4 linked regions of the Lonchura striata genome follow. The protein of the gene in region 2 purifies or fractionates together with the protein of the main gene of each other region. This does not show direct contact. Links are inferred from orthologs where the notes say so. Each region holds a gene or a part of one and is shown on either strand. Other genes may lie near its edges. The genes, in order: CRCP, protein POLR1D, protein UXT and POLR2L.

The links.
Region 1: the proteins of protein POLR1D (region 2) and CRCP purify together in Homo sapiens (affinity purification with mass spectrometry; 5 studies listed by BioGRID and IntAct, with this or other methods). This does not show direct contact. The link is inferred for Lonchura striata from reciprocal best matches to the Homo sapiens genes POLR1D and CRCP.
Region 3: the proteins of protein POLR1D (region 2) and protein UXT purify together in Homo sapiens (affinity purification with mass spectrometry; 3 studies listed by BioGRID and IntAct, with this or other methods). This does not show direct contact. The link is inferred for Lonchura striata from reciprocal best matches to the Homo sapiens genes POLR1D and UXT.
Region 4: the proteins of protein POLR1D (region 2) and POLR2L purify together in Homo sapiens (affinity purification with mass spectrometry; 4 studies listed by BioGRID and IntAct, with this or other methods). This does not show direct contact. The link is inferred for Lonchura striata from reciprocal best matches to the Homo sapiens genes POLR1D and POLR2L.

Annotation. Positions count from the first base shown.
Region 1 is NC_134622.1:6,502,756-6,509,914, forward strand, and holds the start of CRCP (DNA-directed RNA polymerase III subunit RPC9), read left to right. Parts: upstream 1-4,145; 5' UTR 4,146-4,283; coding exon 4,284-4,291; intron 4,292-7,159. UniProt on the Homo sapiens protein: DNA-dependent RNA polymerase catalyzes the transcription of DNA into RNA using the four ribonucleoside triphosphates as substrates.
Region 2 is NC_134604.1:69,173,874-69,181,486, reverse strand, and holds the start of protein POLR1D, read left to right. Parts: upstream 1-4,604; 5' UTR 4,605-4,709; coding exon 4,710-4,735; intron 4,736-7,613.
Region 3 is NC_134638.1:954,287-962,052, forward strand, and holds the start of protein UXT, read left to right. Parts: upstream 1-4,756; 5' UTR 4,757-4,769; coding exon 4,770-4,843; intron 4,844-6,457; coding exon 6,458-6,539; intron 6,540-7,282; coding exon 7,283-7,347; intron 7,348-7,766. Other genes in the region: uncharacterized protein LOC110481730, read left to right, coding at 123-260, 323-406, 809-1,617, 1,758-1,830. UniProt on the Homo sapiens protein: Involved in gene transcription regulation. Acts in concert with the corepressor URI1 to regulate androgen receptor AR-mediated transcription. Together with URI1, associates with chromatin to the NKX3-1 promoter region.
Region 4 is NC_134608.1:44,947,140-44,954,714, reverse strand, and holds the start of POLR2L (DNA-directed RNA polymerases I, II, and III subunit RPABC5), read left to right. Parts: upstream 1-4,571; 5' UTR 4,572-4,646; intron 4,647-4,858; 5' UTR 4,859-4,871; coding exon 4,872-4,966; intron 4,967-7,564; coding exon 7,565-7,575. UniProt on the Homo sapiens protein: DNA-dependent RNA polymerase catalyzes the transcription of DNA into RNA using the four ribonucleoside triphosphates as substrates.

The sequences.
Region 1 (7,159 bases), on a different chromosome or scaffold from region 2:
AGATAGTTGAATATTTTGCTACTTTCTCCAAGTGAGCTCCTGCAGTGCAATATTTTTCCATGTACATTGTCCAAACCCCTCACAGAGTTTAGGAAACATATTCCAGCTTTCTCATCCACGGTTTTTGTTGTATTTTCCTCACTTAAACTGACCCTCTTGTTTGTTTTCTACTGTTCTCTCAGTTCTACAACTTATCCCCTTTTCCTTTTTCCACTGGGAAACTGAAACAGTTCTCGATTCTTTTGCAGTCCTATTCCTTCCTCTTGTGAAATCCCTCGCTTTTACCACCTTTCTTGTCTTTTCCACCTTTTCAAAATGTCCTTTCCTTACTCTGGGCTTTGACAGGAGATCGCCAATATGCTGTGAAAACATTAAGCACTGGGTTTATAACTAGAGTGAGTGGGTGTAAATAAGATTTTGCTAGCCTGTGTCTGATATTACATGTGACAGGGGATATTCCATCCACATGGGATCTGTCAGCAATGCCACTGTGGATTTAGCAAACTTCCCAGGGATTAGTTGGTTTGGAGTGCTCTGCACAGCTCCTGCCCCAGTGTGTATCTAGGAAATGATGAATTCTCTCTTTATTGTTAGATCAAACAGGCAATAATTATGTTTTCTGTATAACAAGCAATGTAGGATGTAGATTAATATATTCATAATGAGTGTGGAATTAAAACAAAATAAAAGCAGAATTCCTCAACTTAAAAATGAACATTGAAGAAATAGGATTTCTTAAGGATGCTTAGAGTTGGAGAGTTGAACTTTGTTGAAGGGAAAACAGTAAAATAGCAATGCAAAATATACTTTCTAATGCAAACTGAATTGTATTCTCATTACTGTCTTCTCCATTTGCTCTGTTTTGGATGTCTCTCCACTTCCCATCACTGCCTCTCAGTGATTTATTTGAAACAGAAAGATTAACCTCAAAATCCCCATCCCACAGTTAATACTGGGGAGGTTCTGAAGGAAAAGTCTCTCTCTTATTTTCCTTTCTGGCACAGGGCATGGCAAATCATTCCTACCTCAATATTCCCAGCTTCACCCTTTTCAAGGTGAAAATAAGTACTGGAGGGTAAATTGCCAATTCTGCAGAACAGAGAAGTTTAATTAAATATATTTGGATGTTCTCAAATATCTGAACTTTATTTGTACTTCTATAGTCCATCAGTCTCTCTCTACTATTTCACTTTTTTTGCTGAAAGAGTGCAATGCTGAAGGAGTGCAGCTCCAAAGGAGCTTTGGTGACTCTGGAAATCCACTTTTCACAACAGGACTGTGAAGGAAAAGGATAGCTGAAACAGCTACAGTGCACCTTCTTTTAAAAACATTATTTTTTTCAGCTGTCTTTTGCTTTGGAGAAAGAAAACAGCTCCATGGGCTGAACGTGCCATGCAAACGCACTGTCAGCTCACCTGACACGGAGCCCTGCTGACATATTTTTGTTCAAAAAAACCCTACCTTTGTTTTTAACTCATTTTTCAATGAAAAAAGGAAAAAAAAAAAAAAGGTGGAAAAAAAAAGAAAAAAATAGAAACCGTAGGGTGCTGAGCAAAATGCTGAACGCAGTAAACATCTTTCATGACAAAGAACACAAATACCCTGCAGATCTGCTGGCAATAGCAAGTCCTGGGCCCCCTGCTTTCAACAGTTAATACTGAGGCCCCTCTCTGCCCAAGCCTTGCTGGTAACAATCACAATGTTAAAATGTTGACATGCTAAGCACATTTGGGAAAAAAACCCATGTCTGCATTCCCTATGGATGGTGTAGCATCACTGTCTAACACCTAAAGAGCAGCAATTAAAACCAAAGTGACCTTCTCACCTCACCCCCTGCCCCGCTGGTTCTCTCTTGATATTCCCTTTCATGATGGAGCTGAGCCATATTTGTATTTACAGCCTGCCAGGCTTCCTGTCTCCGCTGGGAAATGTTTAGGAAGTCTCTATTAGGGAAAAAAAAATGCTGTTGGAAGAGGTGTCGTGCTCCCTCATCCCCAGGTGGGTTGTAAAATGCAGCACTGATTGGAAAAATGTGTCAGGAAAGTGAAATTTTGGGGAAGGGGTGGAAAGAAATGTGTCAGGAAATCAAAATTTTGGGGGAGGGGTGGAAAAAACATGTCAGGAAAGCAAAATTTTGAGGAAAAGGTGGAAAAAACGTGTCAGGAAAGTGAAATTTTGTGGAATGGATGGGAAAAACATGTCAGGAAAGTGAAATTTTGGGGAAAGGGAGGAAAAAACATGTCAGGAAAGCAAAAATTTGAGGAAAAGGGTGGAAAAACATGTCAGGAAAGGAAAATTTTGAGGAAAAGGTGGAAAAAATGTGTCAGGAAAGCGAAATTTTGGTGAAAGCGTGGAAAAAACATGTCAGAAAAGTGAAATTTTGGGGAAAGGGAGGAAAAAACATGTCAGGAAAGTGAATTTCTTGGGGAAATGCAGAAAAATGTGTCAGGAAAGGGAAATTTTGTGGAAAGGGTGGGAAAAACATGTTAGGAAAATGAAATTTTGGGAAAAGGGAGGAAAAAATATGTGAGGAAAGCAAAATTTTGAGGAAAAGGTGGAAAAATGAGTCAGGGAAGTGAAATTTTGACAAAAAGGTAGGAAAAATGTCAGGAAAGTGAAATTTTGAGGCAAATGTAGAAAAAAACATGTCAGGAAAGTGAAATTTTGAGGAAAAGGTGGAAATAAATACAATAATTTGCTGCTGGGGGAGAGATGTAAAGAGATGTAAAGGACACTTAAGATAATTGTGCTGAAGGTTCTGAACCTTTAGCTGCAGAGGGTGGTGAGAGGCAGACAAGGATTGACAGATTTCTGGAATGAAACCCTGAAATTTGATTGTCTGGAAATACAGTATTTTCACATGAAACCTGCCATCTTTTCCCTTCTTTCAGGCAGCTGCACGTGGAGGGTTTGGGACATGGCAGAGCAGCCACAGAATTTTTACTGTGCCAGTTTTGGCCAACTTACAAGGCCAGTTAATCCTGACATGAAAAAGGGCATCATCCATCACATCCTGTGCTCTGAATCACACAGCAGCTCTCAGACTTCTCTCCTGGCTCTTTTTTTATTCCACAGGACTCCACAATAAGTTATTTTGAAATATAAATAAATTTCTATCCGTGTGTGGTGGGGCGCACATGCCCACCAAAACTTTTTTTTAGGCGTTTTCAAATTAAAAGGGCTGAAAAGCCTTTGCAGTTGGCTTTTAAATTTTGTCCAGCACTTTTATATTTGGTGATGGAAATTCCTGGAAAACTGGGAGCTGCTCCTTTCCAGCTGTCCTGGCACTGCAGACTGTTCCTAAAGCACCACAGTTTGCTCGTGTTACTCTGAATTAGTTTAGGATTTGCAATACCCCAAGGAGAGGAAAAGCCTTAATTTTGTCTGGTTTAGTCGTGGAGAAAACAGTGGCTGGTGGGTTTTGTGCTGGAATTGCAAGGCAGAGGTTGCAGGCACAAGGTTGACTCATTCAGTTCCCTAAATCCCTAAAAGTCCCTTAAATCCCAGCTGCAAGCAAGCAAATACATCTGTATGACACTCCTTAGGGAGTTAGAGGTGCTGCATCTGGATATAAAATTTTCCCTGAGAGATAATATCAAAATTAAGGAATTCTATTTCCCTGGCCAGGTAATTTTCCTTGCGGTTTCCATCAGGATTTTTAGCTGTTTGCACTCATTGAAATGAAGATGGTTTTACTGAGGATGAAAAGAGCTCTTGGAAAATTTAACAGCACATGGTTTAGACGGGAAAGAGTCACGGTGACAGCTGGGGAAGGAACGGTGCTGATAAATTGGATGGATGCATCGAAAAACAACAGGAGTATTGCAAAAACACTTCAGCCCTGCAGCACATGGCTAAAGATTTGATTAAAAATATTTTCGCGTTACTGTTTTGCCTTGGTCACAGTTAACAGCGGCTAATTGCCAATTTGAGTAATTTCGGAGACAAATGACAATTTTCTGACTGATGTATGCACAAAGGCCGTGATAAAAAGTCGTCTCTCATCGCCGGCATTGGTGGTTCAGTGGTAGAATTCTCGCCTGCCACGCGGGAGGCCCGGGTTCGATTCCCGGCCAATGCAGCTGATATTTTCCGGTTTTTCTTGTTTTATTTATTTATTTCTTTTAAGTTCCTTATTTCTCCTTCCGCTTCCGTGTCGGCCGCCAAATCCTCCTTCAGCTCCACGGGGCCTCGGCCGGCTGCTCCCCCGCCGTGCCCCGCCGGGCTGCGGCTGCCCCGGGGGAGCGGGAGGATCCTCGGGGAGGCCGCGCCGGGAGGACGAGATGGAGGTGTAAGGACCGGCCTGAGGGGGGCACGGGGGAGGACAAATGGAGGTGTAAGGACCGGCCTGAGGGGGGCACGGGGGAGGACAAATGGAGGTGTAAGGACCGGCCTGAGGGGGGCACGGGGGAGGACAAATGGAGGTGTAAGGACCGGCCTGAGGGGGGCACGGGGGAGGACAAATGGAGCTGTAAGGAAGGGTGTGAGGGGAGGACAGCGGGGCTGCGGGGCACCTCAGTGGGGTTTGTGTGGGGAAAAATCTCCGTGCGGCTGCATCTCCATGGGAGTGGGGTGTGTGTGGGCACATCTGTATGATTTATTAAAAAATCTGGATATTGATCTAGTACCGATGTCCAGCTGTGATGGACAAACACTCTCTAACAGTTTAAAGTTAGACAGTGTGTGTTTATTGTGTGCGGGATTGCTCCCAGATACACACCGCAGCTTCCAAGTGATTACAGCGCCCTTTTATCCGTATTGAATACCCAAAATACAAATCCATATTAATCATTTTGGTACATCCCATTCCTCACTTCCTATGCTAATAATTTCAAAAGCCATTCAGCATGCTTGGTTTGTTCCTTGAAATGGGTCGGTGTCCCTTCCATGGGGAGGGGTCCCAAAACGAGGAAGTAAATGAAGTCTTCATCTTCCTCGTTCTGACCTTTCTACCTTTTCAATGCAAATATGACAAATTAACTCTTGGTGGAACTCCCATTCCTTGTCTTCAATTGGTTTCAGAACAGAGTGGGCCGCAATTGTCTTATGTTCCTAAAAGCTATTTGTCAATTTATATTCTTCATTATAAACCAGCTAACTAAACATTGTGCTGACAAGCAATCAATTATTAACTACTAACTCTTTAACTTCTACTAATCTATTTAATTAACTCTAGTAAGGCTTATCTCTAACTAAAATCTTAGCTCCTCTAAAATCTCTAAATTCCTTAAAATTTACATTTCAAATCCGTGAGGGGTGTGAGGGTACTGTGAATCTGTGATGTGAAAAACACCAATCACTTGGTTTTTAAAATTTTGAAAGTTTAATAATAATAAAATGGTTATAAAAATAGTAATATAATTAGAGTAATAAAATTTAGAGTTAGGACAATTACAAGGCAATAAAAAGCAAAGAATTACAGACGTCCAGATGCTCTTGGACGCTAAGTCATGAAAAGCATCCCTTGTGAAGAAAGGAATAACCTTAAAAGCAACAGCCTGATGCATATTCATATATCTCATACATGAGATACATAAATTCTTCGTAAATTAAAACTTTTTGGTTTTGTCAACTTCTTCTCCTTAATCCTGTTGGTTCCACAAAGATGGAGAGAAGGTGGAAGAATTTTTGTCTTTTCTGATAAGGAGGCTGTAACTTTTTATGGGCCCCCTTCGCTGACATCTCTGTGTGATGAGTTTATTGATTATCTGATCTTCCTGCTTGAGATTGTAACAAATCCTATATCACAGAGTTTCTATTTTAACATTATGTTGTAAGCTAAAACTACATTTAGCACACTACTTAAGAGAATTAATACAGCATAACTTTCTAACATTACACATATAATATTCATTTGCAGAAAGCCAATCATAAAATATGCATTTTTCACACGTGAGGGATGTGAGGGTACAGCTCCCAGCAATAAGTTCAGGTGTTCTGCTCAATGTCAGAGGGGTTTATTTTATTAAAACTCCTGCTGGACAAGCTGTTGGGGTGAAAGGTGGTGTGGCTCAGCCTGGCTCGCTCTTTTCGCCTCCTGTCTCCTCCCTCTGCCCTGCAAGAGGCAAAATGAGATTTTTTCATTATTCCCATGAGCTTTGTGTAGGAGCTGGAAATGCTGGAGAAGGATAAAACCTGCGGGGTTTGTGCCAGCCACTGCAAGCACAATAAGAGAGTCAGAATTTTGGCTGGTGGCTCTTTCAGGCCTTCTTACTGTGTGTTTCAGGTACAAAGCAATAGGATTTGACCTGTTTTGACACTTAAAATCTCACGAGTTCTGTGGAGCTGGTTAAATTTCTAGTTTTCATTTAATTTTAATTTCTCTAATGGGTGGGGGCATTAATGGGATGTGTCTCCCAAAATCACTGAGCTTCTGCAGCCCTGTAGTCCAGGGATGCTTTATTATCATGAAATCTTCTCTACTGTGAACATGAAAATCAAAATTTGATAAAAAATATGAAACATCTGCTGAAGTACAGTGAAGTGCAGTCTTAATGTGAGTAGCAGCCGGCAGAGAAATGATCTGTTCTGGCTGTTGTACACTAAGAAAAATGCTTTTACCATTTATAAAAAAATCTGTGATGCTTCTTACACATCCACTGAGTTTTTATTAATCTTCTTTTGCCTCCTGCCTGATTTGGAAGGGAAGCTTTGCAATTCTCTAAGTTCTTACTGTGGATTTTTCTTACCAGAATTATTCTGTATTTCTTACCAGAATTATCTGTTATTAGAGAAAAGAACTCTCAGAAAACAGTGTGGTTTAAATATACAACACATGTGAAACAGCAGACTTAAAATATGGATGTCAGTGATTTTTGTAAAGATGTGATGCCCTTTACCAAGGTATTTTTTGATATATTCAGCCCTACTCAAGAGTATTTTGGTTTAGGCTAAAATTTGGGCAAATACGAGCTCTTTAAAGACTCTAAAAAGTGTTTATATTTTTGCTGTTACCATGAAAATTTTCACCTTTCTGCTTAAGTCTTAATCACATAAAAATTAAGCAAAGTGTTGAGCTGACTGCTTAAAAATAGACATTAGAATCCATTACTCAGATTTCTTTGTTTCCTGACTGTAAAATTGGGAGCTGCGAGTCAGGACAGAAGGAAATTTCATTTCTATTGCAAATGCTGATCAATTTATAATTTTGGCATTTCGG
Region 2 (7,613 bases):
TGAAAAATCCTGTATAGTCCATCCAGTGATTGTGTCAAATCTCTCCAATAAATAGAAACCACTTCCTCTTCCAAGTGACAGAAGAGCCAACAAGAAGAGGTGCTATGCTGAACATTGTTGTCACCAACAAAGAGGGTCTGGTACAGAACGTGAAGCTAGTCCATAGCCTTGGCTGCAGTGACCTTGGAATGGTGGAGTTTGAGGACCTTAAGGCAGCAAGCAGGGAGCACAGCAGGCTCTGTACCCCAGGCTTCAGGAGAGCAGACTGGCCTCTCCAGGGATCTGCTTGATTGAGAATCATGGGATAGCGGCCTTGAGGGAAGAGGAGCCCCAGAAAGCTGGTTAATATTCAAAGATCACATCCTCCAAAATGAGGCTTTGAGAAACCTGGTCCAGTGGCGGGTGTTCCTTCCTAGGGGGATTGAAACTAGATGATCTGTAAGGTCCCTCTCTACCCAAACCATTCCGTGATGACTCAATGATTTCTCTCTGTGGAACAAAGGAAAAACAGCCAGGCAAAACAGAACATCTATCACTCCATCCCAAAGTTAACCAACTCTTCCTGGGTAAAATTACCTTCCATATAACATTGATCTGACTCATTTATAATCTAATATTTGATCTGGTTTATTGTGATGACAGTGAGAAAATTCTAGACACTCTTAACAACATGCCACAACTCCAGAGCAATATCAACTTGCTTACTTGAAGCAAAAATGAGACTGCAAATATTGAGCTATATAACCCCAAGTTTCCACATCAAAAATAGTTTCCATTATTTGAATGGAAAAAATGCAAACCAATTTGAAATCTTGTACATTCACAAGTTATCTGACTTTATATCAAACAGCTGCATGCTTTGGGTTTTGTGTCCACCACCTAACACACAGCTCAGCAGGAAAGACTCTGCAAGAGATTCTGCCCCTGTTCCAGCCCGCAAATTATTTGCTGAACTGACATCAGCTGAAATAAGCACCCATGAGAACATAAATGACTGACATCTCTGGTACCACCAAAGTGCTTCAGAAACAAAAGACATGCCTGTAGTACTGCAGAGCACATTGCAAGAATGAAGCCAGGTCAGGTACAGCACCGAGACCCCCTGTAACACAACACTGGGGCTGGGGACATCTCCACATGTGTCATCAAGGTGCAGCCCAGCCCCATCAGCCACCTACACTATCTCATACAGAATACAGAGTAGTCAGTATGAAAACACATGACAGGTTCAGCCCATGAATTTAGCAAACATAAATCCCGAAAACACTTACATGCAGGCTTATCATTAAGCCTCATTGCAAAAGAACTATCTGGATGTTTAAAATCAAGCATATGCAAGCATAAATATCTACAGAATTTGAACAAAAAGAACACAAAAAGTACACTCCATAATATTATTAATTTTTACTGCTCCATAGATACCTTAACCTATCAATTATATAACTTAATACTAATATTTTAAAGCATTTTCATCTTCAAAAGGCACTAGAATTTCTAAAGGACAAACTCCACTGACCTAATAAAGCAATTAAACAGCATGCAAGTCAATGGCGTCACATTAAAAATGCTTCTGCAAACCAAATCAACAAAGAATTTCCAAATACCAGAGAAGCCACTGCCATATCAAATAGACAACCAGCTTCCTCTGGTGCCTTTTACACCAGGGAGCATTTTAACACGAAATAAATGTTGTTTTCTCATTAGTTACAGCCGTTCGTGTCTAGTAGCTCTTTAAACAAACAACATTTTGCTGATGCAAGGCAATAATTTGTATTTATTTAACATCTAGTACACATTTCACTTTGATATTGCTGGTATAACTTCTTCCCAGTTGCTTTCAAATATATTAACTTTTTTTTAGAAGTACAGAAAAATGAGATTAAATAAGAGGGGGGTATTTTGGCATATTTTCAGACATAGTTTTAACTGGTAGCTAACAAACTTCTGCTGTTTTTTCGTAATATAAATATATTACTAAAATATATATCCATAAATATATACCAAGATTGAGACCGCTCAGTATGGGTAAAGGCTTACAAAAAAAGAAACTTTCACTGAGGTGATTAGTGCTTCCATGGTAGCACATAATAAACAAATGCCAAATGTTGCAATGCCAAAGCCACCATTTTTGGCAGGACAGGTTTTAGTAAGCTTATTTTTTAACCCATCTCAGGAGAACAGTATTTTTCCACCCAATCACCTGCTTACATTCCTCTTGCAAAGTTTTGTCCCTAAACTGCCACATTTTTTATTGTTTTGGTAACAGAAAATTCAGGTGCAGTCTTAGGAAAAGGTACTACCTTTGCAAATCTCAGACCTGAGTCCAAGGCCCTGGGCTCCCTCATCCTGAAGTCACCAAGCAATGTAAAGGGTAAGTATAGTTAGAAATTCAGAACTGAAAACTCATGGCAAAATTATGAGTTTTAAGATCCATACATTTTCAAATTGCAACAGAACAAGCACTTTAAAACATAATATTATGACCTTTTTTATTTAAAAAAATCTACTTGGGCACAGTAGTGTTATTTGCAGCCTGATGACTCTGGAGTTAATAATTTTATATTGTACTGTGTTCAGGAGAGAGGATTCCTTAGATATCTGATAATTAGAAAAAAAGAATAATTATAAAGGACTCCTATTTAGTCTTACAGTTCTAGCAAGTACACTGATATAACTTGCTTCCATTTTAAGGAAATTTGTTTTAATAAAGACAGGGCAGCATATGGTACTAACATGTTTATTTTCCAAGTGGAAGGGACACTAACCAAAACCATCTGATGTTTCTTCATCTGATGTTTCTTCCTAAGCCTCCTTGAGCTGGATTGCAGCTTAGAATAAAGCATTACAAAGCCAGAAGAAGTGGGTAGAGGAATAAAAAAATGAGTAATTCAAAGTCTTTATCTAATGAGAGCACAGTTCAGACCAGTTCTTATTTTGAATATAAGTTTAAAAGTACTTATGATTGGAAATTTATTTCCAGAGACTATCAAATGTAGTCCAAAGCTAATCTGTCACAGACATTTTTTACTCTGCACACAGACAAAAACCAAACCCCTAAATCATGTAATTAAAAGAGGAATTAAAGGAAGCTCAGAAGTACTTAATAGATTTCTAGAGAAGCAAACAATCAGTACTGTGCATTATGAACACAGTAAGAAAAGTCACCAGGGACTACCAGATTCACCCCCACCAGAGCTCCAGGAACGGTTTTCTCAGTTAGTTGACCAAGTACTATGATTCCATCAAGAGCAATGGTAATTTTAAAGTACGCCTTGTTAAAAGTATAAAAGACGAAAACTTTTCTAACCACATTTTCAGTGCTAAGAGCTAACAAATGAGGGGACAAACCAGGGAGTGCGGGTCAGAGCTCCGAGGGCTAGCGTGAACGTTTGGAAACAGCTGCCAACCACACGGACTCAGCGGCATTTCGCAGGCAGCCCCGAGTTCCTCTGGCGCAGCTGTAAAACACACAACCTGAAACCCGCTCCTGCAGCAGGGGTTCGCTCGCAGCTGTTCTCTGCCTCCCCCGCACGCAGAAATCTGACTCCTCTCCAAGAAAGAGCTTCTTTAATGAAGCCACACGAGAGCAGCATAGGTGTATCGGGGGACCCAGAACCAGGCGCTTTCCAAGTGGGTCTCCAGCACCCGAGCTCACAGCTCAGCCTCGCAGAGACGCGCTGCAGGGGCCGCCGGGCTCAGCCCCGCCGCCGAGCCGGGGGCTCCAGGGCGGGGACGCTGCTCCGAGGATCCCACCTCAGCCTCAGCCACCTCAGCACGGCGGCTCCGGAGCTCTGCCCACTCCCGTACTTGTTGCCTGCGCAGAGCTCAGCCCGGCGCCGCCGCCCCCGCGGAGACCCCCGGTGCCGCTCGGCTGAAGGAGGCTGAGCGGGGCTGAGCGCCCGGCACCGCGCGGGGCAGGGGAGTTACTCACCGCGCCGGCTCCGCGCAGCGCTCTCCTCCTCAGCCGCGCCGGCTGCGCCCGCCCCGCCTTAGGGGAAGCAAACTCCGGGCAGCAGCACTTGGAGAACGTGTCTCGTCGGGCCGGGCCGGGCCGGTGCTCCCGCCTCCGCCCCCCGCCGCGGGCAGCGGCGCGGCCCAAGTGACAGCGGCGCTCCGCCACTCCGGCGGCGGCCCCGGGCGCGGGGCCGGCCGAACCGCAGCCTATGGCAGCGGGGCCGGGGCGGGACGCGCTGGAGCCCGGGGCCGGGGTGTCCCCGCCGCTCGCCTGATCGGCTGTGCGGAGCCCGGAGCGGTGGGGAGCGCGGGCGGGGCCGGCGCGGAGGAGGGGCCGGGTGGGGCGCTGCCCGCCCGGGGCTGCCCGCGGACCTGTCCCCGCCTGCCCGAGCCCTGCGGCCGCGCCCAAGGAGCAAACCCAGGGCGTCTCCGAGACTGAGAGCCCCAGCGGCGCTCCCACCCTCCCACACTCAGTCACCGCCCCGCGCCTGCTTCCCCCGCCCTGCCGGCGGGGCACGGGGGTCCTGCCCGCCAGGGAGCCCACCGCCCCGCTCTCCTTTTGGCGGGGGGCGCGACCACCGGTGCCGCAGGTGCCCGGCGGGGTGTGGCGGGGCCCGGCTCGCCCCGCCCCGGCTCCTCCCGCCGGGGTCCTCGCCGGCCCCTACGCCCGCCCCGCTGCCACGCCCCCCGGCCGACCGCGGGTGATGGCGCCGGCCTGCCCCTGAGGAGCCGCAGCGGGGAGCGGTGGGGCAGCCATGGAGGAGGACCCGGAGCTGGAGAGGTAGGGGGGAGCGACAGCGCGGGGAGCGGTCTCGAGAGCGAGCGGCCTCCACGCGGCTGCTGCGCCGCTCCGGGCCCGGCAGCGCCTCCCGCGCCGCGGGGCCCGGGCAGCGCGGGGCTGCGGCCGGCCGGCTCCCCCGGCCCGAGCGCTCCGCAGAACCGGCCCCGAGCTCCGCCGGGCTCTGCCCGCTGCCCGCAGACAGCCCCTCCTGTGGGCGTGCGGCCAGGGCGCGCCCCGAGGGCAGCGCGGCCTGGGGCTGCCTCTGCCGTGTCTTCCGCACAGAGCTTTGGGTGCGTGCTGATGTCGCTTAGAAACAGGATTGGAAGGTCTTGGATGGTTCACCCCTCATTAGCTACAATTTGATGAGTTGTGGACTTGGCAAAATAAATTTTAAAAATCCCAAAACACCTTGTGTTGTTAGAGATTTCAATTTTCAGTTGTGCCCTTTGACTAGTTGTTAGAATTGTCGTGTTCTTGTATGAGAAAAATACAAAATGGTTGGTAGTTATTTTGTCAAAAACTAAAACTGTTTTCTATTTGGCATTTCGTTGGAACCAGTGGATTTGTCTTGCTGCACGTTTTGAGTTGCAGTGCTCTCAAGCAAACACTGAGGAATAAAACATTGATTTCCATATTAGGATACTCAAAGTAGGCCTCTCTTGCTTTTGTTTTAGGAATAGACTTTTGGTGTTTATATCACAAATGTTTTGCAAAACAGTGCTATTTGTTTGATGGGAATTTGTTTTTGCAAGCTTATTTCTGGGTTGTTCATTTTCCTTACGGCTGTTTAAAACAACTGTTACAGTGAAGTGATGACCAGAAGCTTTCTGAACTGTTCTCATGGTTCTCTCCTTTAACTTTTAAGAAACCGTATCTGGGAATGCTTACCGAAAATAACTTTTTTCTATTTGTATCTGGCAGGTATTTGAAATGTGCCAAAAGCAATAGTACTGAGACAGTGGAAGGGCTAGAGCGCTTAATGCTTTCTAAGAGGCTTTTAATTCTTGCTGAGCTGTTTCTGTTCTCAGATCATTAGTTTAATAATTAAAGCTTCTTTTGGTGTATGCATGAATGTTATTTTTACTAGTGCCATTCTAAACTTAAACCTTTTTCATTCATGGCAAGTTGAAACCATGCCACTGTTCTTCCATGCTGTCTTCTGGTTGCTGCTGCCGTGCTGGGGGCCTGGGGTTCTCTGGGCAGTTCAGGGCATAGCTGACCTCACCAGCTGTAGCCAGCTGCTCCACAGCCACCTCCTGACTGATGCTCTTCTTCCCAGAAACTACATTTGAAGTTTTACCTTCCTCAAAGGCTCACTCCAAGTTAGGATTTGCTATTCCTGTTCTGTGGCAGTGTGGTAAATAATGAGGATGAAGCTCAGTGTCACTTGTCGAAGTGGCACGGTAGGGTTTAGCTGTTTGGTGTCACCAATCTGTGTCACTGTGCACCTCAGAGGGTGTTTAGTCGGCCCCAAACACATTATAACTACAGTGTAGTGCACTTGACAATTGGCTCTTCCTGTCCTCGATCCACCTATCATCAGTTACTTTTTCATACCTTAAGTTTTCATGACAGCTTACTTTGATAGTAGCACCCTGAACTGAATTCAGTTTGTGCTGTGTGCATTTAGAGGGTGTACTTTGGCACTCTAAATAGTGCTTCACTGTACAGTCTTCAGTACAGAGCCCTTCCAGTCTAACAGAGATCTTTCTTTATCCTTTGTGTTACAGATGTTATGTCTTAGATTCATACTCAATAACATACTGATCATATCATCCTGTGAATAGTGTAGTAATGGCAGTTTAGGCTTATAATTTTTAAGGGTTTTGTATTATGGGTTTAACATACAAATAATAGTGTTTCTGTTCTGTAGCCATAGTATTAATTCCTTTAGTGCATTTTTAGTGTTCAAAAATGGGTTTATGTGGAATATTTTGAGAAGTCTGTCTCTGAATCCAGGCTTGTCTTGCAATGCAGACTTAAATAAAAATTCAAGGTTTTTGTACATGTGCTTTTTATTTAATTAACCATGAGGGAGAAAGAAGCGTAATATTTTTGTGCATGCTTTTTCAGGTCAGAAATTAATTTTGTGTCCCAGTATTCCAAAAAGTGATCTGTTAAGTCAATCGCCCTATATTTTTGTTACTAAGAAGTCTTTTCTTCTAGCTTCTTTTATTTTTATCCTTACTGCCACATTTCCCAATATTATTTTTCAGTTTTACTGTTTCTGACTCTCACTTGATCTTGCTTTTGATGTTTTCCTCACTTTAATATGAAGTGAGGTTTTCCTCGAAGCTGAGTACTTATAAGTTCCTGTGTGACTGTTGCATACAGAATGCAACAGTCTGTGGGTTTTAAAACTCTAAAAGCTATAAATACCACAGATGTGTAAAACAGTAATATTTGCTACATTCTACTGAACTACATCCTCTACTCCATCTCACCCAGTAACCTCTGATGGAAGAAGTATGAACTAAGATTTTCCCCTGTGAACTTGCTGGTACATCAGTGAAGACCCTGAGCCTTAAGGTTCCATGTGATTCTTAAGAAAATTCTAAATTATGTTAGCATATGATTAATGGTATTTGAAGTTATGATGTAAGAAGGAGGTGGAAAAAGGGAATCAGCTAGTAGGAGCTGTTCACTTTCTTTCCTCTGCAAGCACCTGAAACTGCTTTTCCTAGTTTATTTCAACTAAATATACACTGAGATATTATGTAGGTCACCATTTTCATTCCTGCATAAAAAATGAAATCTTTCTTCCCCCTCTACTTCCTAAAGTATTGCCATTGTGGTTCTGTATGTTTGAAGCACAGAAGATGCGTTGTTTCTCTTCAAATACAGAGGAAGTGGCTTTGTTATACTGTGTGTCCATATC
Region 3 (7,766 bases), on a different chromosome or scaffold from region 2:
TAGCACATCTGGGGCTCACCTGGGGCACACTTTGGGCACCTGGGGCACACCTGGGGCACACCTGGGGCACACCTGGGGCACCTGTGGCGCACCTGAGCCCCGCCCGGCCGTGCCCCCCGCAGGTGCTGGGCTCGTGGCTGCCGCTGCTGGGCCCGGGCGCGGCCGAGGACCAGGCGCAGATCGTGGAGCTGGTGCTGGAGCGGATGCGGGAGGAGCTGCCCCGCCCCCGCAGCCCCTCCCCCGCCCGGCCACGCCCACAGGTACCCGCCCCTCCCCCACCTCCCCCTCCAGGTGCGCCCCCGGACCCCTCCCCAAAATTGAGCCCCGCCCTCCTTCCTGCAGGTGTCGGCGACATCGGGGACCCCCCGGCCGGGGACCCCCCCCCAGCAGAGACCCCAGCCCCAGGGTGAGTGACCCCGCCCCCCCACCCCAAAAAAATGGGCGGGGCCTCCTTCCCCTCCCCCGCCCCAAAAAATCCTCGGAGCTGTCAAAAACCCGGGGGAGCCTCCAGAATTCGGGGATTTGCGTCCTGGAATTGTTCAGGATTTGTTTTTGCTCAAAATGTGACAATTTCCACTAAAAAGGGGGAAAATCGGGGGTTCCCCAAAAATCCTCCTCAGGTTTGCCCCAAATCCTAAAAGTCAAAATCATTCCTAAAAACTCCCAGACGCGCAAATTTTGGGGAGCTCCTCCCTCCCCGGGGATGCCCTTCCAGGGCTGCCCCGCCCCAAATTTGGGGGGTTTTGCCCCAAATTGGGGCTGTGCCTGCCTCAGGCCCCGCCCCCTCAGGTGTTTCTCTCCCTTCCAGGTGCGCCGCCCCCGTCCGGCCCCGCCCAGCCCCGCCCCCAGCCGCAGGGGCAGCCCCGCCCACAAATGGGAGGAGCTTCGGCCCGCCCCGCCCAGCCCCGCCCACAAACCCCGCCCAGCCCGGCTCAGCCCCGCCCACAAACCCCGCCCGGCTCGCCACAGCCACACCCGCAAGCCACGCCCACCGCGCAGCCACGCCCACAAGCCACGCCCACCGCGCAGCCACGCCCACAAGCCACGCCCACCGCGCAGCCACGCCCACAAGCACCGCCCACTGCGCAGCCACGCCCACAAGCCACGCCCACCTCTCAGCCACGCCCACCCCTGGCTGCCTCGGCAGCTCAGCCCCGCCCACCCAGCCCGCAGCCCCGCCCACCGACCTCGCCCACGTCTCAGCCCCGCCCTCAAGCCCCGCCCACCGCACAGCCACGCCCACCCGGCCCAGCCGCGTCCCCTCAGCCCCGCCCACAAGCCCCGCCCACTTCGCAGCCACGCCCACAAGCCCCGCCCACCTCCCCTCAGCCACGCCCACAAGCCCCGCCCACCTCCCCTCAGCCACGCCCACAAGGACCGCCATCACCTCAGCCCCGCCCACAAGCCCCGCCCACTTCGCAGCCCCGCCCTCAAGCCACGCCCACCTCCTCTCAGCCACGCCCCCAAGCCCCGCCCACCTCGCCCCAGCCCCGCCTCCAGCGCTCCCCCTCTGTTCCCCAGCCCCGCCCCCCCGGTCCCCAAGCCCCGCCCACCCCCGCCTCGCCCCGCCCCCCCGGCCCCCAGGCCCCGCCCACCACCCGCCAGCCCCGCCCCCAGGCCCCGCCCCTCGCCCCCAAACCGGCGCTGGCCCCCAAACCGGGCGGGGCCCCTCCCCCCAGGTAAGTGGGTGGGGCTGGGGGGGAGGGGCGAGGGGCGAGGCCACGCCCCCTCCCCCCCTGAACCCCCAAATTCCGCAGCCCCGCCCCCGAGCAGGGCCCCCCCGAGAGCCTGCGGGCGCTGCGGCAGAGCTTCGCCAGCCTCTTCGAGTGACCCCGACACCGGGACCCCAAAATACCGGGGGGACCCCAAAATACCGGGGGGGACCCCAAAAATACCGGGGGGAACCCAAAAGATACCCGGGGGGAACCAGCAATACCCGGGGCTAACCCAAAATACCGGGGGAACCCCAAAAATACCGGGGGGACCCCAAAAATACCCGGGGGGACCCCAAAATACCCGGGGGGACCCCAAAATTACCCGGGGGGACCCCAAAAATACCGGGGGGACCCCAAAATACCCCGGGGGACCCCAAAAATACCGGGGGGAACCCAAAAATACCTGGGGGGAACCCAAAATACCGGGGGGGACCCCAAAAATACCGGGGGGACCCCAAAATACCCGGGGGGAACCCAAAATACCGGGGGGGACCCCAAAAATACAGGGGGGAACCCAAAAATACCGGGGGGACCCCAAAATACCCGGGGGGACCCCAAAAATATCTGGGGGTAACCCAAAATACCGGGGGGGACCCCAAAAATACCGGGGGGACCCCAAAATACCCGGGGGGAACCAGAAATACCCGGGGGAGCCCAAAATACCCGGGGGAACCCCAAAAATACCGGGGGGACCCCAAAATACCCGGGGGACCCCAAAATATTCGGGGGGACCCCAAAATACCGGGGGGACCCCAAAATACCGGGGGGAACCCAGGAATAGCCGGGGGGAGCCCAAAAATACCGGGGGGACCCAAAAAATACCGGGGGGACCCCAATAATACCTGGGGGGGACTGCAGAAATACCCGGGGGGACCCCAAAAATACCTTGGGAACCCAAAAATCCCACCCGGGGGACCCCAAAAATACCTGGGGGGACCCCCTGGTGTTCAGGACCCCCCAAAATCCCCCCAGGGATCCCCAAATTCCCCCCAGGATCCCTCAGAATCTGCCCAGGATCCCCCAAAATCCCCCCAGGGATCTTCAAAATCCTCCCGGGCGTGCCAGGACTTCAGCACCCCCCCCAAATCCCCCCAGCACCCCCCAAAATCCCCCCGGGACCCCCCAAATCCACCCAGGATCTCAAAATCCGCCCGGGGCCCCCCCCAAATCCACCCAGGACCCCCCAAAATCCCCCCGGGACCCCCCAAATCCACCCAGGATCCCCAAAATCCCCCCGGGGACCCCCCCCAAATCCACCCAGGATCCCCAAAATCCCCCCGGGGACCCCCCAAATCCACCCAGGATCCCCAAAATCCCCCCCGGGACCCCTCAAATCCCCTCAGGACCCCCCAAAATCCCCCAGGGACCCCGCAAAATTCCCCCAGGATACCAAAATCCCCCCCGGGACCCCCCAAATCCACCCAGGATCCCCAAAATCCGCCCGGGGACCCCCCCAAATCCACCCAGGACCCCCCAAAATCCCCCCGGGACCCCCCCAAATCCACCCAGGATCCCAAAATCCCCCCCGGGACCCCTCAAATCCCCCCCAGGACCCCCCAAAATCCCCCGGGGATCCCCTCCCCCCCCGCTCTGTGTTTGCCAATCCCCAGCCCCCGCCCCCCCAAATTGAGGGGGGGGTGTCTCTCCGCGCGTGCTCGTGAGTGTGTAAGCCCCGCCCCCCGCTTGGCCACGCCCCCTCGGCCACGCCCCGCTTAGCCCCGCCCCTTTCCGCCCGCGTGGGCGGGGCCAATAAATCCCCGAGCTGCTGGCGCTGGGTGGCTCCGGTGGGGGGGGACCGGGGGACCCCAAAATTTGGGGAGATGGGGTGGGGGAGGCACCTGGGGCACACCTGGGCACACCTGGGCACACTGGGGCACAGCTGGGCACACCTGGGCACACCTGGGCACACTTGGGCACACTGGGGCACAGCTGGGCACACTTGGGCACACCTGGGGACACCTCAGACATAGCTGGGCACACCTGGGGCACATCTGGAGAGTGCTGGGCACACCTGGGGCACAGCTGGGGAACACTTGGGGACACCTGGGCATACCTCAGACACACCTGAGGGCAACCCTGGGCACACCTGGGGGTGCCTGAGGGCACAGCTGGAGAGTGCTGGGGCACACCTGGGCACACCTGGAGATACCCGGGCACATCTGGGGACGCTCAGGGACACCCGGGGAGTGCTGGGCACACCTGGGGACACCTGGGCACACCTGGGGACACCCGGGCACACCTGAGGGCGACCCTGGGCACACCTGGGGGTGCCTGAGGGCACAGCTGGGACACACCTGGAGAGTGCCAGGGCACACCTGGGCGCACCTGGAGGTACCCGGGCACATCTGGGGACACTCGGGGACACCTGGGGAGTGCTGGGCACACCTGGGGCACACCTGGGCACACCTGGGGACACTTGGGGACACCTGGGGACACCCGGGCACACGTGGGGCACACCTGGGGCATAGCTGTGGGTGCCTGAGGACACAGCTGGGCACACTTCGGGACACCTGAGCACAGCTGGGGCACACCTGGACACACCTGGGGGTACCCGGGCTCACCTGGGTGCCCTTGAGGACAGCTGGGCACACCTGGGGCACACCTGGGCCACACTTGAGCACACATGGGGCACACCTGGGCCACACGGGCACACCTGGGCCACACCTGGGGCACACCTGGGGACACCTGGGCACACCTGGGGCAGGCTCGGGGCACACCTGGGGCACACCCGGGCACACCTGGGCACACTTGGGCACACCTGGGCACACTTGGGCACACCTGGGCACACTTGGGCACACCTGGGGCACACATGGGCCACACCCGGGCACACTTGGGCACACCTGGGGACACTTGGGCACACATGGGGCACACCCGGGGCAGGCTCGGGGCACAGGTCGCGGCGCTCCGGCTGCTCTCCCGCCGATTGCGCGGCGGCCATGTCGCGACATAGGGGCGGGGTTGGGGGGGGGGAGGAGCCCGGGTCCTCCCGGCCGCCAGGGGGCGCCCGGCGGCGCGCGGCGCTGACGCAGTTCCGGCGCCGCCGTCAGAGGCGGCATGGCGGCGGCGGCGGCGGGGAAGGCGCAGCGCTACGAGGCGTTCGTCAGCGACGTCCTGCAGCGGGACCTCAGGTGGGAGGCGGCGTGTCGCGACATCACCGCGACATCGCCGCGACATCGCCGCGACATCGCCGCGGGGCTGCGGCCGCGCCCCCCCCGCCCCGGCCCCGCTCATTCATCAAACCCGCGCGCCGCGGCCACGCCCATTCCGCGGCCACGCCCCCCGCGGGGTCGGCGCCGTGGCCACGCCCCCTCCCCGTTAACGCCGCAGTGCGGAATTCCCGCGCGCCCTGGCCACGCCCACGCGCGCCATGGCCACGCCCACGCGCGCCCTGGCCACGCCCACGCGCGCCCTGGCCACGCCCATCTAAGGGTCAGGGCGGGATTTCGTTTCGCCTCGAGGCCACGCCCATTCTGAAGCCACGCCCCCAAGTCAACCCCACCCATTCACAATGATGCCACGCCCATTTGATGATCACGCCCATCTATAAATAATTTCCATTCAGCTTGAGGCCACGCCCATTTTATGGCCACGCCCTTGCATAAATATTTTCCATTCAGCTTGAGGCCACGCCCATTTTATGGCCACGCCCTTGCATAAATAATTTCAATTCAGCTTGAGGCCACGCCCACTTTATGGCCACGCCCTTGCATAAACAATTTCCACTCAGCTTGAGGCCACGCCCATTTTATGGCCACGCCCTTGCATAAATAATTTCCATTCAGCTTGAGGCCACACCCATTTTATGACCACGCCTTTGCATAAATAATTTCCATTCAGCTTGAGGCCACGCCCATTTTATGGCCACGCCCTTGCATAAATCCTCGCCTTTTTTGAGGCCACGCCTATTTCACATCCACACCCCGCATAAACCCCACCTATTCACCTCTAGGCCACGCCCATTTTATGGCCACACCCTTGCATAAATAATTTCCATTCAGCTTTAGGCCACGCCCATTTCATAACCACGCCTTGGCATAAATTTTGCCTTTTGCTTTGAGGCCACGCCCATTTTGTGACCACGCCCCTACCTAAATGCCTTCTATTCACCACGACGCCACGCCCATTTTATGGCCACGCCCTCATCAGCACCACCCATTCACAATGATGCCACGCCCATTTTATGGCCACACCCTTGCATGAATAATTTCCATTCAACTTGAGGCCACGCCCATTTTATGGCCACGCCTTGGCATAAATTTTGCCTTTCGCTTTGAGGCCACGCCCATTTTTGGCTACACCTTTATCAGCCCCACCCACTCACAATGATGCCACGCCCATTTTACGATCACGCCCTTGCATAAATAATTTCCATTCAGCTTTAGGCCACGCCCATTTTATGGCCACGCCTTTGCATAAATTTTGCCTTTCGCTTTGAGGCCACGCCCATTTTATGGCCATGGCTTTGCATAAATTTTGCCTTTCGCTTTGAGGCCACGCCCATTTTATGGCCACGGCTTTGCATAAATTTTTCCCTTTCACTTTGAGGCCACGCCCATTTTTGGCCACACCCCCATCAACTCCACCCATTCACCACGAAGTCACGCCCATTCACGACCACACCCTCCACATGATGACCACGCCCATTCACAAAAACCACGCCCACTCCCACACCCACCATTAACCTCGCGGCGCGGCCACGCCCCCCGGGCGAGGCCACGCCCCCTGAGCAGCGCCCCCCGCAGGCGGGTGCAGGAGCAGCGCGACGCCGTCTTCGAGCAGCAGGCGCAGGTGCTGCAGCTGCGCGCCGCCCTCGCCCGCCTGCAGGTGCGGGGGGCGTGGCCTGGGGAGGGGCCTGGATGGGAATTTGGGGGGCTTGGAGGGGGTTTTAGGGGGGTATCGGGGTGTTTCCGGGAGGGTGCGGGGGATTTCTGGGAGCCTCGTGGGGAGTTTTGGGAGGAATTGGGGGGGAATTGGGGAATATCGGGGGGATTTAGGGGTTATGGGGGGTACTGTGGGGGAATTGGGGAATATCGGGGGGATTTAGGGGTTATGGGGGGTACTGTGGGGGAATTGGGGAATATCGGGGGGATTTAGGGGTTATTGGGGGTCCTGTGAGGGAATTGGGGAATATCGGGGGGATTTAGGGGTTATTGAGGGTCCTGTGGGGGAATTGGGGAATATCGGGGGGATTTAGGGGTTATTGAGGGTCCTGTGAGGGAATTGGGGAATATCGGGGGGATTTAGGGGTTATTGAGGGTCCTGTGAGGGAATTGGGGAATATCGGGGGGATTTAGGGGTTATTGAGGGTCCTGTGAGGGAATTGGGGAATATCGGGGGGATTTAGGGGTTATTGGGGGTCCTGTGGGGGAATTGAGGAATATCGGGGGGATTTAGGGGTTATTGAGGGTCTTGTGAGGGAGGGACTGGGGGTCTCTGGGTAGATTTGGGGTCCCCAGTGGTGTTTGGGGGTTGGGATTTGGGGTCCCTGGGGGTGTTTGGGGTTCTCCAGGTGTGTTTGGGGCTCTCTGTGTGACCCCGGGGGTCCCGGGGGGTTTTGGGGTCCCCAGGACGTCGACGCCCCCCTGCACACCCAGGTGGATCTCGGCTGCAATTTCTTCGTCAGTGCTGAAGTGTGAGTGGGGCTGGCACCCCGAAAACCTCCTCAGACCCTCAAAAACCTCCTCAGACCCCCAAAAACCTCCTCAGAACCCCCGAAAACCTCCTCAGACCCCCAAAAACCTTCTAAGACCCCCCAAAACCCTCCTCAGACCCCCCAAAAACTTCCTCAGACACCCCAAAAGTCTCCTCAGACACCCCAAAAGTCTCCTCAGACTCCCAAAAACCTCCTGAGAACCCCAAAATAACTCCTCAGACCCTCCAAAAACCTGCTCAGACCCCGAAAAACCTCCTCAGAACCCCAAAAACCTTCTCAGACCCCCCCAAAAACCTTCTCAGACCCTCCAAAAACTTCCTCAGACACTGAAAAACCTCCTCAGCCCCCCCAAAAACCTTTTCAGAGCTCCAAAAACCTCCTCAGACTCCCTAAACCTT
Region 4 (7,575 bases), on a different chromosome or scaffold from region 2:
CATATTTAAAAAAACATATAGCAAGTATTAAAACCTGCTTTGAGGCCCTGAATGATGCTTTTAATGAAATCAGCAGCATCAGGCTTGTGTGGTATTACAGCAGAGCTGCAGTCACATCCCCAGCTTAGAGAGATTTCTCCTCATTTCTCCTTGCTTAGCAGCTTCAGTATTTGTTTCACTAAATCCAGGGGCTGAGCAGCTCTTACACATTGTGTGGGGCAACCAACAATGCAAAGCTCTACAGAGCAGATAAGTCTTTCCTGCTTCCATCATCCCTGCCTTTCCTTGGCCTTCTCCACCTCCCCACCATCACGTCACTACACCCAATAGCACTGTGGAGCTAAGGGAAGAAAGTCACTCACTAAAAAAATACTTTAAAAATAATCAAGGAGAAAACAAATCTATATTCCATCCCACTCTTTGCTCCTTAAGCCTTCATTTTTTAGAGGGGAAAGGAGGACTTCCAAAGACACCCTAGCTAGCTCCAGAGAGAACCACTTTCCTTCACCTTTTGTGGAAAAGGACGAACTACACATTTCTGAGTAGTTAACCAGGGCTAAAGAAAGCCCAGGAGTACGTCTGCAGGATTTAGCAAACTTGGAGGGGAAAATGTGCCTGAAAAAGTAACAGCCAAGCTTCATCCTGCATATTTGATTTTGTATCTTTCCCTCTTGTCTGACTCGCTACTGCCATGCAAATTACTTATATACATTGAACTTTCCATGTCACATTTCAGCTCCTGACTAATGTCCTATTTAACCACTCATTTCACAATTCATGTGAGCCTGTCTCTTAGGATTCTTCCCTCTCTGGCCTCGTTGGAATCCTCAAGGAGTAAAACACTGAATATGGTACTTCTGCCATTGTGCACAGGATTATGAGTGTTAGTTGGAAATGAAGAGAAAATTGTCAACATTCTTTCTCTAAATAACCACAGGGAGCAACAGACAAGAGAGCTTTTAACTCCAAGCAGGGCCAATAGGGCTACTCACAGCTTTATAGAAGTCTGCATCATGATCAATAGCACTAAAACAATCCTTCACAGAGAAGTTGTCATAAAAAGTCCTATATTTAAATAACAATTCACTACCCTTGAATACCATTGGCAAGTCAGGTCTTAAAAGACCCAAGTCGTCAGTTCTGGTCATTATCTGCATGTACACAAAATAAGCAAAGTCAGAAGAAGAGGAACAACAACAGGAGGTGAAAAGTAGTAAAGGTCAAAATTTTCCAGACCCGTGAGGGTGCGCACCTAAACCGGACCTTCTGCAGCCAACAGAGTAAAAAATACCTTTTAGCTAACAGTTTCTCATGCTACCAGTGCAAGTGCAGAGATCTCACAAGTCTTTCCTCCAGCCCTAATTACAGAGACAAGGTCAGAAAAGACACAATTTGCCAGCATGAGCTGCAGGAGGTCATATGGCCACTCTAGCTACAGAAGTATTTTAGGAGTAGTTCAATCCGCCGGGTCACTTAACTGACTTCATTTCTGTTTGTTTTTTAAACAAGCAGCAATATTTTCCCTCGCATTTCGTGGATGGGAGAACAGGAAGCAGGGTCTACTCCTTAATCACCAGCCTAGGATTTAAAGTGCACATCACTAACAATGCCATGGAGCAGCGATGCCTAGCTGCATTTTACAGATCTCAATCCACCAAAAACTGCCAAGAAGGAGCCTCATCCCAACAGTGACAGTGGGTCAGAACATTGTCAGCTTTCAGAAGTTGTTCAGATCACAGGAAGAAGGCGGGTGCATTATCTACACTGCCTCACAACAAATCCACGTGACAGAAGCTGCTCAAGCTGCTCCAGCTGCACATCAAGAAAGCAGCCCACAGTTCTCAAGCTTTCTTCAACTCGATTAATTCCAGGGCAGTCTCTTCTGCTTAATGCTGATGAGGCTGCAGTGGGTTTTCTGACCAGCAGACTGCCTGAAGGCCCAAAGAATCAGCAGTTTGAGGACTGCTACTTATTGAAGGTGGCAAGAGACCAGAAATGTGGTAAGAACTTACTGTGAGAAAGAGTTGTACTTCTCGTTCTAAGAGCTGGGACTTCAATACTTGCAATTCTTCAAAGGATGCTTAAAGAGACCCAGTTCTTGAATTCTTTCCGCCCTCTTCAAAAGGATGGCTGAAGAGATCAAATTTCACTAAACACTAACAGCTGAGTGCCATCAGTACTCAGCTCACCTGAACAAGAGTGGAAAGCTGACAATGCCACAAATGGCTCAAGCTGCAGTCCTCCTAATCAGCGTGAGCTAGCAGCCCATAAAACACTGACTAATTCCCAAACAGTCACATGTGTGCACATTCCCCCACAGCTCTTCTAAACAGACTTCTGCAGCTTGGCAAATGGTCAGATTAAGCAGAGGATATATGAAGTTAAGCAGAGAATGTTTTTGGTATGTAGCAGTCTCTCTCCAGGTTATAGTTCATAAAAATCTTTACAATTTCTAGGATCAAAGCAGCTACAGCCATGAAAGGCCTATTAGTTCATTAGGTCCCTCACCCAGCCAAAGCAGGTTACCCAGAAAAGACATGACAAAGTTAAAGTAATGGCGTGCAAACAAGCCAAGTACATTTTGCTTTGAAAAAAAAGACGCTAGGCAAAGTGAGATATGTGAACTAGGTCCAAAAGTTTAAGTTCAGTTTTGTTTTTAAGAAATAAGCGAGCACATTTCTACAAGGCAGCTATAAAATGCTAACCTATATCTAATGATGTGGCTCAGCTATGAAGCCGAGCTCCAGCTCCTCTTTCTCACTCTCAATTGCAAATTTCCATCTCTAAACACAAATGCCTTTTACCACACAGTTCAGTAAGAAAATTACTTTGGAGCCCTGGTACTGAAAATGCATCAAAGCACAATCTTCAAATTCTCAACTCCCCACCCCCTCCAGCCCCCGAAAGAAATGAAAGGATAAAAAGGAAAGACACGGTTTTGCTCCCACTGGCCTACAATAACAATAATGATCATAATCTAGAGATCGCAGGAGGTTGATCTACCCTCCATGCCAAGTCAATTCGCTCCATTCACAACTGCGCATAATTATTCCTGAGACTGCAAAAATTACTGTCTTTTCACTAGCAATAGAATTGTAAAAATGCTTTCAACCTCAAGTCCTTATTTATTAAAACAAAACTATTTGCTCTTTTACGGTTCATGTTAGGTCTGGCATTTCTGTGCAGAGGGTCAATAATCCAGTCGTTCAAAAAATAGTCACGAAAGACGTATTAACATAAGCTGTGCATTAAGACACAATTATTTATATGCCTGACATTAATGGCTCTGCGCTGTGCATTGTATCAACTCACAGATACTTTAGCTGGAAAATAACATCACTTTGGGAGAATTTCTGCTCTCCCAAGGACAATTAGCATAACGCTAACGCTGAAACGAGAGAGCAATAAGGATTGACAGAGGAATGCTTCATCCCAGAGCCTCCAGAACAGCGGTGCCCGTCCCCAAACTTTGTACCCATCACAGCACGCTTCCCTCCGCTGAGCACACACAGCCCGTGCCTAATGCTTCCCCAATGCTTAGATTAATGAAAAGCGAGTAAAGCAGTTTCGAGATGCACGATCCTCTGCCGCCAGAGCTGCCCGGCGCGGGTGCCCAGCGGGACCGGCCGCGCTGCCCCGGCCAGCCGCTGCCTGTGCCCCGAGCCGAGAGCTGCCCCCGCTGCGGGCACTGCCGCGGCAGCAGGCGGCACCGGGGCAGCGCGCACCGCTGGGAACCGAGCGGCGCACGGCTCTCAGCAGGGCGAGCAGCACCCCGGGATAACGGGACGGCGCCGCGTCCCGGCTGGCCGCGGAGTTTGGAAACTCTCGGCAACCCCGCAGCCAGCGCAGCGCCCGCAGCTCGGCCGGGGCTCGGGGGCGAGTGCCGTCAGGGAGACAGCGCCTGTCCGGGCTGCGCGGAGCCGCGAGCAGCCCGCAGCGCCGGGAGCGGGCTGTGCCGCCGCCTCCCGCCCGCGGGAGCCGCCGAGCCGCGGGCAAGCAGCCCCGAGCGACGCGGCTCCGCGATGCTGCGCTGACCGGGTCGCGACGCGGCTCCAGCGGCGGGTCCCACCGCCCCCCGTTCCCCTGCCCCGGGGGAGCGAAGGACACGCCGCGCCGGCGGGGCTGCCGCGGGGCGCCCCGGCTCCCCGTCAGCCCTGCCCGCCGGGATGCCCACCCTTCACCCTTCACCCCTCCGCCGGAGCGGGCGGGCGGCTGCCGCGCCGCAGCCACCAGTTGCGCTTCCCGCTGCGGTACCTCAGCCAGGACGGGATGAGAAGTCCGCCCGCTGCCGAAGCCCTCTCGCAATGCAACAAGTGCCCGCCGGGGCGCGGCGGGAGGAGGCGGCGCGGGGGCGGTCGCGGTGCCGCCGCTCAGCGCTCGGGGCGCCCCGGCTGCCACTCACCGCGCCGCGCGCCCGGCGCCGCCGCGAGCCCGCCCCCCCCCGCGCGCGCGCGCGCGCGCGCTCGCTCTCTTGGGCCGCCGGGGACGCCGTACCGCGGGCCGCTACCATCAAGTGCACAAGGGGGGAGTAGGGCCGCTCAACCCGCCCGCCCGCCGCGTCGGGCCGGCCGGCGGCGGCGCGGTTTCCCCCGGCCGGGCGCGGTGGTGGCGGCCGGCGGCCATCGGCAGCGGAGGAGGCGCGCGGGGTGAGCTGCGCGCGGGCCCGGGATCGGGATCGGGATCGGGATCGGGATCGGGATCGGCCGCTCACCTGAGGGAGCCCCCGGGCCCGGGCCCTGCAGCCCAGAGCCGCCGCCGGGCCGTGCGTGGCGGCGCGGGCAGCGCAGCCTCAGCGCGGCGGCGGAGCGCGGTGTCCGGGGCTCCGGCGGGGTCTGAGGCGGGGTTGGTGTCGTTGCAGCCACGGCGCAGAAATGATCATCCCGGTCCGGTGCTTCACGTGCGGCAAGATAGTGGGGAACAAGTGGGAAGCCTACCTTGGCCTCCTGCAGGCGGAGTACACGGAAGGGTGAGTTTGCTCTGTGTTGCTGGACTCGCGGCCTGTGTGAGGTACGCGGTGCATAAGGTCCCAGACGTGCTGCAGATCATCTCCCCCAACCTCCCTGCCAAGGCAGGGCCACAGGCACGAGTGCAGGGTCGCGGCGTCATAAAAGAGACGTAGGGAGGCTAAAAACTACAGGTACATTCTGAGGTTGTATAACCAAAGGTTAGAAATTGCAGTAGGCAACCGAGTACTTATTTCTCCACTGTATCTTTCAGAGCAGCAGTGTGGAAGTTGCTCAGTCTCCAAAATGTTCCCAAATATGTAACTCTGTGCACATTTCCTTGTTTCTTCCCTTCCCCTTTGATATACCCAATTTTGACACCAACGTGATCAGTTTCTTAAAGGGAGAGAAGAAAAAGAAGTGTAAGAAATGTTTAGCGGTTTTAGTTGTTGGGGTTGTTTGTTTTTTTTTTAAGCATTTTAATCCAGGGATGCTAACCTTATTTTTAAGTATTGATTTGCTGGAGAAAGAAGATTTAACCACTTTAGATACCCTACTGATAGTCCTAACAACTCTGTGGTAAGAAGTCTGTGCATCCTTTGCATAGCCAGTTTCTGCTAATAGTTCAAGGAGAGTTTTAACTATCCTGACACTACCTCAGGAGCTTTGAGAATAAAACTTGAGAAATACTTACATTTTCATCAAGTATGAAACAGAAAAAAATACCCATGGATGTTTGCAGCTCAGAGGAGTGAAAGAGAAATTTACGTGATGTTGAAGTAGAAAGTAGATGTTAAGTAGAAAGCAAATAATTTGGTTTGCATTCAAGTGGTTGGGGATCCTAACAGTTTTACAGGTAAGTTTATTTCATATATGGGGTTAAAAGCATTACAATACCATGGGTTGTTTTTTTTTTTTACTCCTACTACAGTTTACCAGGGCTTTTTTGATAGAGCTTCTGACATATATTCTAGGCATTACATTTTAATATTTTCCCTATCTTTATTATTCCTCTGCTTTTGTATAGGAGTTCTGTGTTGTCGTTGACAAATGCTCACTTGAAAGCAATTGTTGTGGTCACTGGCTTGATTCTGGGATGCTTGTTCAAACTAATGCAATTATGGTGTTGTAAGAAGTAGAGTTTACAGAGATCAAACAACTAAAATCTTACAGTGCAGTACTGGAATCACTGGTAATGGTGGCTTAAGAAATGGATGGACAAAATGGGAAAACTTGTCTAAAGAATCAGTAGTTGAAAAAGACATCCACGCCTTTCTGTTTGTCCCTTAAAAGTGCTCTTTTCCACAAGTCCTTGGAAGCTGGAAGAAAAGGCAAATGCAACTAAAGTTGTCTTATGCCTTTGGAAATTGTGATTAATGTTAGTATTTTGCATCCCTGATAACTGCATATGAGACTTCAGAACTCTCCAGATAGCTTTTAAAATTTACCTATCAACAGACATCAGATGCTTTTCTTCTCAAGTGTTTTGGAAAACTGTTACATCATGTGATGTTATTTATAAACATTCTTTAAAATGCCCCACAGTGTTGTTATACTCCTCTAAAACAAGTTTTGCAGGTGCTGTCCTAGAGCGAGCAGCCCTGCTGCACCATCAACAGTTGCAAGGACTGAGTGACATCAGAGAAGCTGCTGGAAGTTGGCTCCTGCAGTTAGCCTGTACTGCTTGAAGCCAAACAACACTTTACCATGGTCCAGCTTAGGCAGAGGCTTCCTTTCAGTCATTTGTATTTTAGAAAAGTATCCATTGGCCTATTCCTACAGGAGAATTATGAGTTCCAGGAAATTAAGTTTGTTTTGAGCAAACGCTTTATTGCACTGCATTATATCAGTATCATCATATAAACCTGAGATCAGTCATGTCTCGCAAATGTCACATTCTGAAGGAGTATCAGACTGGATTTATGGTTCATAGGTTGCAGCTAAAGATCGTGGTGGTATCGTGACCTTTAAGAGTCTGATAGCCACAGCCATGGAAAACACCCACATTGGTTCGGGCTAGGATGACTCAACATCCTCTACCCAAACAGAAGAATCTGGAGCAGTCACTCCAAAGGAATTCAGTGGAATTCAGTAAAACACTGATTTCTGACCAGTCTGCACCTACTTACTTGTATGTATGTGGGGGGCAGGTTGTATAACTGAGTGCCTTCTCCCATGGGAGCTGGAAAGGATTGTAGCCATCCTCAGAATTAACATCCCTATATGGGGGAGGTTGCCTTCCGAGTTATTTTAGTTTCTGTATATCTCACCTTTTTAGTGTGGCTCAGATCTTAAATTTATCTTGTGAAATAGACAAGAATCATCCTCAGTTTACAGAAACATGTTAAAACAGTGCCCTCTGAAAGCAGTGGCAGCTGGGGACCCTTCTCAGCAGCAGATGATGTGCTCTGGCCGGCTGGAGAATGGGCAAACACACTCAACAACACTTAAATGGAAAAGGGCATTAACAGCACATGCTGAATTTCTGTCTGTCTTTGAACTGCAAACAAATTTTCCTCTATGACTGAGCTCAAAGTAATCAGTGTGTTGCTTAGGAAACGCTTACAAGTAGTTCTGACTCACTTCATCTGTTATGTTTTTTAATTGTTGTTCGTTAATAGAGATGCCCTGG